Danio rerio: one gene and its partner. The protein of the gene in region 2 binds, or shares a complex with, the protein of the main gene of each other region. Links are inferred from orthologs where the notes say so. Each region holds a gene or a part of one and is shown on either strand. Other genes may lie near its edges.

Region 1 (4,757 bases), on a different chromosome or scaffold from region 2:
ACTCGCCTCCAGGGCTGTAAAAACAAAATAACTGTCACTCACTCAAACTCACAATAGATGAACAAACAAAACAATATAAAGAAAAGCAAACAAGCCATTGAAAAATAGTGAACAACAAGTAGGAATATTTAAAGATAGGTTTCTTTATATAACAGCTTAACCACTTAAACAGCAGCACTCTATTGAATTCATCACATCCACAACACACAATCTATAGCTTACAGTTTGAAGAAGGTTGTCCCCAGCTGAAGTAGCAGAACATGAGGGAGTCTGTGCTCGTGCACGATCAGAACACCCTCCACAGTCCGCCGCATCCCGATTTTCTCAAATTCTTCCCGCATCCGCTGAAAGCGTGCGGCTACCGAGCTGTCCTTCTCATAGAGCGGCTCCTTGGTGCCGAATGTGTAATTTGTAAGAGGGTATCTTTGGAAAAACAAACATGTTATTTCATTTAAATTGAGGTGTGATAAAGCTTTAATAATCCACACACTGCAAAACAAAACATAGCATCATAACAAAATAATGAGGGAAAAAAGATGGCAAGCACTGTATGTGGCCGCTAGTAGTAGGGCTGCACAATATATCGTTTCAGCATTGATATCGCAATGTGAACATTCGCAATAGTCAAATCACGAGTATATGCAATGTTGAGTCTGGGTTATAATTTACAATATTTCAAGTGTTTTTGAGGCCTGTGATTGTGTGAGGGTTTTAACAGCATGTGTACAGCTTTTAACTAAAAAATAATAATGATGAATTTGCTTGTTTTATTTTACAATTAATCATTTACTGTACACCTAAATGCAGTTTGACTCCTCAAAAACAATAAAACACTGTTTATGTAATTTGTATTTTTCTTTATTGAATTTTTCTATGCTTGTTTCTTATTTTTTTATGCATGCACTCTTCTACAAAATCATCCCAATCAATCTAAAATTTCTAATTCTTTCCAAATAGGCTTGTAAAATTGTATTTATATTGCAATTTATGTCACAGAACAAAAACATATCCCAATGTTAGATTTTTCAAATACAGTGCAGCCCTAGCCGCTAGTCATGTAAATTTCCATAAAGCTTCAAAACCTTTAAGAATCTTGTTTTCAAATAAGTGGTTGCATATCAAGGGGTCACAAAAAGTCACAATTTATGTAATGGAGGATGCATTTCATCATAATTATTTCAAAAAGTTATTAAAATCCAATGGTTCATGTATCTGTGCGTCTGAATTATGCCAGATTCCCAACTGTATTTATCAAAGCTTGTGATTGGTTTGTTACTGTATATTATTGCAAAATCACTCCCTTAATAAATCACCTAAATTATGAATTCTTTTTGAATAGACCTACTCATTTCATCTAGTAAAATTATCGCAATGTACATCGCAGAGGATTAAAATATCACTTGGTAATTTCTCCCTAATATTGTGCTGCTCTAATTTTGACCAGAAGGCATTACCAATCTGTGGTATTTTGAATGTTTAAAGGTTTTGTGAAGTGCTTTGAAATGGGCATTTATATTCCATGTTTGAGGTAATCTCAACTGAAACATAATGAAATGGTGGCAGTTCCTCCCCTTTAGAAAATAAAAACAGAGAATAGCGTTTTGTTTTTATCACAAACAATCTCTGCCAATGAGAGTGTTTGAGCTTAAGGCATCAAATGAATAGCAAATGAGAACCATCTTGGCAGGGGGTGGGGTTTATGCTCACATACTAGAGAGCATTTGATTGGTCAAGATTTGGTGAGTAAGTAAAACATGAAGTGACCTATGAATAATCATAGATTAGGCGGAAGTGACAAACTGCGGGCTTTAGATGTGTATATATCTTATAACGCAAATTGAGTCACTGTTTGAGCACACTAGCTTATAGATATCCTCAAAACTAACATCTAAAAAGCTTTATTTTTACTTTTTATTTTATTTCACAGGTCCTACCTTTAAAAGAGCAATCATTTATTAATTTTATACAAAGTGTAATTTGGATCTTGTGCTCGCCTATTATGGGCGTTTCATTCCATTGTGTTTTCATACAGCTTTTTGTACAAATTAAAAATAATACTCCCAAATAAGGGTTTCAATATCAAATTTGAATTTACATTAAAGATCATTCATATTAATATTTGATTAACATTGGCATAAGGTTAGCGTTATTAACAAAATCAACAATTATAATAACAATTCTACCGTCACTCAATATAATCAATGATTGGGATTTGTTTACGTAACTTGCTCAAGAATTCGACTGTTTGATTTCTAAGTCATACTTAACGTTACACCAAAATAATAACAAATAACACCATAAACCACAAATAATCAAATAACATTTCAATAACATTGCGCCTGTCGACTAATGTTAGTGATATTTTCGAATAAATGTGCAAAGAGCCCTAGGATAAATCACCGAGAACAATGCTAACTGCAACATATGGAATACAAAACTAATAAGAACTATATCGAACTCTTATATTTCAATATCCCTGCATATGTACACACTGCCATAAATGTGCATGCATTTTGCCACATAAAAAACAAAACTCTGAATATTTCACTGTATTGTTACGCATGCAAACAAGAGCTGGCAGCAAGAAGCTACGGTAGTCTGCCATGGTCAAACGCTAACAATGCTAACGTACTGACATGAAAGGCACAATGCAGCAGCACTAGGATTTACAACCATTAAAGCTTGTTTAAGTAATCGCATATATCGTTTGTAGTGTTGAATTTTAAGTTCAAGTTACTCACAGGTTGATTGTTCTCTCCAGGGTGAGGGGTTTAGTCGCCTGGGTAATGTATTTATTGCCGAACTGATTTACTCCTCGAGGCCAACCGGTAGATGATCGATTAGGAGGTACAACTGACATCGTATGACGGATTATTAAATCACTTCCTAATATTTGCACTAATCGCGTTTTTTTCCACGTTGATTACTTTATTACTGTGATTGAATTGCACAGCCTTGGCGCTCGATGAAAACTGGAATACGGCGCTCTGCTGTGAAAGCACATCCGGGACATTGGGTTACTTCCTGTGTTACGACCGTGTGTTTCGGCTCTTCAGATTTTTCTCATCTGATCTATGAGCAAGAGTTGTTTTCCACATTATAAGTAGTGGGTTTGAACAGTCCAGACACGATTCAAACCCTTACCCTTCAAACAGAGGGTTTGTGGTTGTTTATTACACTTTTCTGCCTGCTACAAGGCGTGTTTTGGTGTCTGTTAACCTGACATCACAAACACAAGAATACCACAGAAATGTCCAAACTAGATTATTAAACCATGTATTAATCAGAAAAAGACAGTAACAATTAAACCACTTATATAGCCTGTAATAGTTATTTAGGGAATTTTACCATTTAATGTTTGCAAGATTGCTTTGTGTATACGTAGCCTAATTTTTGCTTTAATGTAAACAGAACAGTTTTTTTAATACTTTATACGGACCTTTGGTGTTTTTAAAACATCATCAGTCGGTGCTATTCCCACATATCAAAAAATATCTGGCCCACATAATCAGCTTTTGCTTGGCCCACTTGCGGCAGTAAATTATGGTATATGAGTGGACCAATTCTGGCTTTTAGACAAGGACCAAACATGGACAATATCTGGGCCAAGTCTCAGACAAGTTAATAACCCATAACTGAGCCTAAACTTCACCAGATATGTTTTTGTATCCCGTCTGCAATGAAATTGATATACTCAGGGATCATTGCGCTTTAGGCATGCTATGGGCTTGCTTTTTCTCGAAGCGATGATTGGTACTTGGTAGAATTTTTTTCTTTATTTGAAAATAATAAAAATGTATTTTAAATGTGGGTCAAGATAAGCCTAACGTTCATGGCTCATATATCAATTGTTAACATCTGGCCCGAGTAGGCCTATTGTGTGCCGTCTTAAAGACGGTGCCACCTCTGCCAAACCAGGGCCATGTTTGGCCTACATGCTGTATGCCAGTGCCAGACAAATGCCTGCCCTGCCAGATATATGCCATATCTGGGTCAGAATTCTTTTCTACCTGTGTTGGAGGCACAACAAGTTAGCCTACACTGAATCACTTGCATATTTTGCTAAACATGTGATCAATTATTGCCATTCTTTAAGCCAGGAATGTCAAACTCAGTTCCTGGAGGGCCGCAACCTTGCACAGTTTAGCTTCAACCCTGCTTCGATATACTTACCTGAAACCTGAAGGACTCAATTAGTTTAATCAGGTTTGTTTAATTAGGGTTAAGCTAAACTGTGCAGAGCTGTGGTCCATCAGGAACTGAGTTTGACACCTGTGCTTTAAGCAGTATATAATGCAGTGCAAAAACAGCTTAGTGCACATACCTTGATATGTCTGAGAAAATCTTAATAAACACCTCAGCTTTCAGAAAATACTTAACACAGTAAGTGTCTTTCTGCATGCACACTATTATTTGCTTTTTACTCCATAGAGCTCCATATAAAAGCCAGAAATGTTTTTGCACAGGCCTATCTAAAGGGTTAATGGTCCTAAGCGATCATCAAAAGGAAAAATGGCAAATTGTACCTCTTCTCAACAGGGAAAACCAGCAGCAATCAAGAGTGGGTGATTATTTGCTGTCATGGTTTTGCAATCAAAAAAAAGTTGTTATAATGAAAGTCAATGGGGCAAAAAACAGCCACCAATTGGGTAGTAAATTTGAACAATAGGTTTAAGGAAAATTCTTACACTTCAAAGTCCATACCACTTGCAGCTTTAGTGTAATGTGCCTGAGTAAAACATTCTGTCAATTCAGTA
Region 2 (4,195 bases):
TGTGGCCCTCACCCCTGTGGCGTTTGAAACGGTTGATTTGCTTTGCTTTAAAGGTTTGCTCTGGTCTGCGTGGGATCAGATTCCTCTTCCAGGAAGCTCATGGATCTGTTGTCTAAACGGGAGCTGCATGGACAAAACCCCATCGTCACCCCTTGCAACAAACAGTCTCTCAGTCAGTTCGAGATGCAGTCACGAAAAAGTGAGCGCAGAGGATTCGACAATTCACATTATCATAAAGGTCCCGTGAATTGCTTTGAAATGTGCATTTTTGTTTGATGTGTGATGTAGTTTCCAATGAAATGTGAAGACAGGGTGGGACATAGAATAGCTCCTTCCCCTTAAAAAGATGGGTGGGACGTGTCAAATATATGCATTTGATTGGCCAGCAGATTTGATAAAAAAAAAAATCCATTTAAGATAAAGTGACAATCTGCAACTTTTTATGTTTTTATCTTGTAAATGTAAATTTTATCACTGTTTTGGAGCACACTAGACTATAGATATCCTTAAAACTAACATCTAATGTTAATTTTGATTTCACGGGGACTTTAAACTTACTGAATGAGAATAGCGTTGCTGTATGTGTGCTGCAGTTTAGAAGAGTGTGTTTTGGTCCACGCAGGCACACAGTCAGGACAGATGTCAGGAGAGGGGAAGGCTGGTCCTCCAGGCTCAGGATCTCGAGGTGGAGGATTCCCTCCTGGCAAAGGTCAGAGACGCTTTCCTGGCCCACCTGGACAAGGAGACCGCTTCCCTGGACCGGTTGGACCTGGCGGTCCTCCACCACACTTCCCAGGTATAAGCTTGAACAGGAGTGAACTTTTGAATTGTCAGTATATACATCAGAACTAACAGCTATTATTATAGGTCTGCAATGGGAGGAAACAAATAGGACTGTAATTTGTTCTATCAGTTGTTGGATCTATAACAACTGATAGAGAAGATTTAATAATGCAAGTTTCTACAACATTATACAGACTTAAAGTAGAGGGTAAAAATGTACATTTTTGTTGTGGACCGGCACATATTGGAATAATGGGAAATAAAATTGGCAGATAAATTGGCAAAAAGAATCATTGAAGAAAAATCAAGTAGATGTTAAAGTACCTTTGGGAAGGAATGAAATGAGATCAGTAATTAATAAGGAAATAACAAATATTTGGCAACAATATTTGGTCTGAAAACTGATGCTCTGAGGTGAATGGGTCACTTTTCAAGTGAATCAGAAAAAGTTGATCAATTGTCCTAAATCAAGAATGGGTGATGTTTAATGTTCACCACAAAACTAGCAGTGTGAGCTCCCAAAATCATACGGTTAGTTTTGATTTCATGTGTATTTTTGTAATCCCTTCTCCTCTCTGCTTCAAAATGTAATGCATCAAATCTTCTTGCAGGTATGCAGGGCCCACCACGTCTTCCCTCTGGCCCACCTGGGCCCCTGGGACCTCCAGGCCCCCCTCCACCTGGACAAGGTCTGCCTCCTCCCCTCGGCGGACCCCCTAACAGAGGAGACCGTCCTCCTCCACCTGTCTTGTTTCCTGGTCAGTTCGGGCAACCCCCAATGGGCCCGATGCCTCCTGGGCCTCCCCCACCAGGATACGGGCCTCCCCCAGGCCCCCCTCCACCTCAGCAGGGACCACCCCCTCCAGGACCCTTCCCTCCCCGTCCACCTGGGCCCTTAGGACCCCCGCTTGGCCTCGCACCCCCACCACACATGCAGGGACCCCCACCTGGAGGCCCACCGCCGGCTCCTCACGTCAACCCGGCCTTCTTCCCACCACCTGGAAACAACATGCCATCATCTGACGGCAGAGGACCCCCACCTGGAGACCCGTACGGCCGCCCACCTCCTTATGACAGAGACTTCCCTGGTGGCAGGTAATAAACACATCGCCCACAACTACACCTATACTCTAAAAAGCCCGAAGTGTATGTGCACAGTTAAATGAACAGTCTTACTATAGTATGCTGTGATGGCATGCTCACTACAACAGATAACACTGCAAATATGCATTCAATTGTTTTTCATTGGAAGCACATTTAGATGTAATTTAATCATTTCACATTACATTTTAATATTGACAGCCATAACTTGATAACATTTTATAAATATTAAAAAATAAGTGAAGTTTCACAAACTAATTTCTAGAAGAGCACGTGATATGATCAACTAGAGCTGATCCTCATCACTGATCATTAGCTAGCCTATCAGATCATTCCAAAACTACTATGAATATCCTGCCTAAACTCCGTTCCCTGTCTTCGTTTTTGGCAAACCCCCTTCTATCCTTCCCTTCTCCTTCCTCGTTAATTATATGATAGGGCAACAGGGTGGCTCAATGGCTGGCGCTGCTGCCTCGCAGTGGGAGGGCCAAAGGTTCAAGTTCTAATTGAGCCAGTCGTTACTCTCTGCCATGAGTTTGCATGTTCACCCTGTGTTCCCGTATGTTTTCCTCGGGTACTCCGGTTTCCTCCAACAGTCTTAAAACATGTACATAAGCGAACTGTAAAGTCATAAGCACTTAACGCATACATACTGAATCAGTCAGAACCACCATATTAACCATAGTATAAAACAAACGAGAGGGCTCTCGAAGAATACCCGATCTCCTATCCAAACTAATGCTCATTGACCAAACGGGAACCTTGTGCTCTTCGATTTGAGATTCAGGTTCTCTCCTGGGACAGCATGCCAAACCTGCTATCATAGTTAAGCATTGTCTAAGTGTGAACTCCTAAATGTATTTATATATTGTTACGTGTTAATGATGTTAAATAATTAAAAGGATGATACGTAACAATCAGTGAGTCCATTGATGCTGGGTGAATAAGGAGAAGACACAAACGCTTGATAAGTGAAACAAAAAGTAAGTATTTATTAATGGATAATGTCAAACAATGAATATGAGATGGAAGATAAATGTAATTTTAAATAATTGAATTAAATAAAGAAAAATAGGAGTGTTGCCAAAACAAAGAAATAAATATAACAAAACGATCTAACTAAACCCCAACCCACTAAACTGACTGATCAAAGAAAAATGCAGAAACAAAACAGTAATCTTCAGCACGTAGCTTAACTAAACTTCATAACTCCCAAACATAATTACACATGAGGCAACGCCTCCAAAAACGAACTAATACAAAGTTATACTAAGCTGCTCGAAATACTAGAATTCTTGTAAAGTACAGACTGTTAGCCATTAGCAAAACAAGATCTCAGGTAATCCAATTCTCATAAAGATCGTTCATATTCTCACTATACATTAACCTGAGCAGCACAAGTTTAACTGATAAATCCATATCAACAAAGAGAAAACTAGAACACAGCACTCGCAAACAAACCAAGCGGAACAAACAAGTCAACAGTTTGAGAGATTGACAGGCCAAGCGCTCCTCCAGAACAGCGCAAGCGCACCGGTTTTATACTGCGCGGACCCAATCCTTATTAGCGCCGATTGAGTGACGAAGGTGAATGACAGCTCACTCGACCAATGGTAGCACACCTGAAACAGGATAGGACCACTGCGAGAGAGAGAGAGAGAGAGAGAGAGAAGAGCGCAAAGCAGAAAACAACAAAAATACCACAAAACATACGTGAAACGTAACTATTTTTTTAAACCTGTCTATCTTGCATTTGGATGGTATTTCCTTTTATTTTGGTGTCGCTTTAGTTTTTAGTTGCTGAAATGTCTGTGCCTCACTTTGATTTAACATGTGATGCAATGTGATTCAGCACTAACGACCACTGCAGCTCTTTGTGTGAATTCGATCCCTGAAGCATTACGCTTCGCTCTGACTCGTGCTTTTAGTTTGCGCGTGTTCATTAATCAGCATTTTGTGTGCTTCAGGGACATGGATGCGTCTCGCACTCCCCTGAGCGAAGCTGAGTTTGAGGAGATCATGAACCGGAACAGAGCGATTTCCAGCAGCGCTATTTCAAGGGCCGTTTCTGATGCCAGTGCAGGTGTGGAGATCATTACACCCAGCACAAATATGAGGTGTGGTGTGTTGTGAATTAACCGTTTCCGTTTCTGCAGCTGATTACGGCAGTGCTATAGAGACTCTGGTGACGGCCATCTCTCTGATCAAGCAGTCGAAGGTTTCTGCTGACGACCGCTGCAAAGTTCTCATCAGCTCACTGCAGGACTGCTTGCATGGAATCGAGTCCAAATCGTATGGCTCTGTGGCAGGG

The links. The genes of interacting proteins can lie anywhere in the genome.
Region 1: the proteins of cpsf6 (region 2) and nudt21 are in contact, whole or in part, in a crystal structure (PDB 3P5T), measured with the Homo sapiens proteins. The link is inferred for Danio rerio from reciprocal best matches to the Homo sapiens genes CPSF6 and NUDT21. Residues at the interface, in NP_008938.2 of Homo sapiens: Trp90, Trp91, Thr92, Thr93, Asp94, Glu95, Lys113, Phe114, Glu116, Asn117, Arg118, Ala119, Asn120, Gly121, Gln122, Ser123; in NP_008937.1 of Homo sapiens: Pro151, Asn152, Glu154, Pro156, Tyr158, Tyr160, Pro162, Ala163, His164, Ile165, Thr166, Lys167.

Annotation. Positions count from the first base shown.
Region 1 is NC_133193.1:24,123,969-24,128,725, forward strand, and holds the start of nudt21 (cleavage and polyadenylation specificity factor subunit 5), read right to left. Parts: upstream 2,987-4,757; 5' UTR 2,861-2,986; coding exon 2,742-2,860; intron 424-2,741; coding exon 223-423; intron 15-222; coding exon 1-14. UniProt on the Homo sapiens protein: Component of the cleavage factor Im (CFIm) complex that functions as an activator of the pre-mRNA 3'-end cleavage and polyadenylation processing required for the maturation of pre-mRNA into functional mRNAs.
Region 2 is NC_133179.1:2,380,793-2,384,987, reverse strand, and holds part of cpsf6 (cleavage and polyadenylation specificity factor subunit 6), read left to right. Parts: intron 1-53; coding exon 54-238; intron 239-622; coding exon 623-796; intron 797-1,394; coding exon 1,395-1,878; intron 1,879-3,851; coding exon 3,852-3,967; intron 3,968-4,040; coding exon 4,041-4,194; intron 4,195-4,195. UniProt on the Homo sapiens protein: Component of the cleavage factor Im (CFIm) complex that functions as an activator of the pre-mRNA 3'-end cleavage and polyadenylation processing required for the maturation of pre-mRNA into functional mRNAs.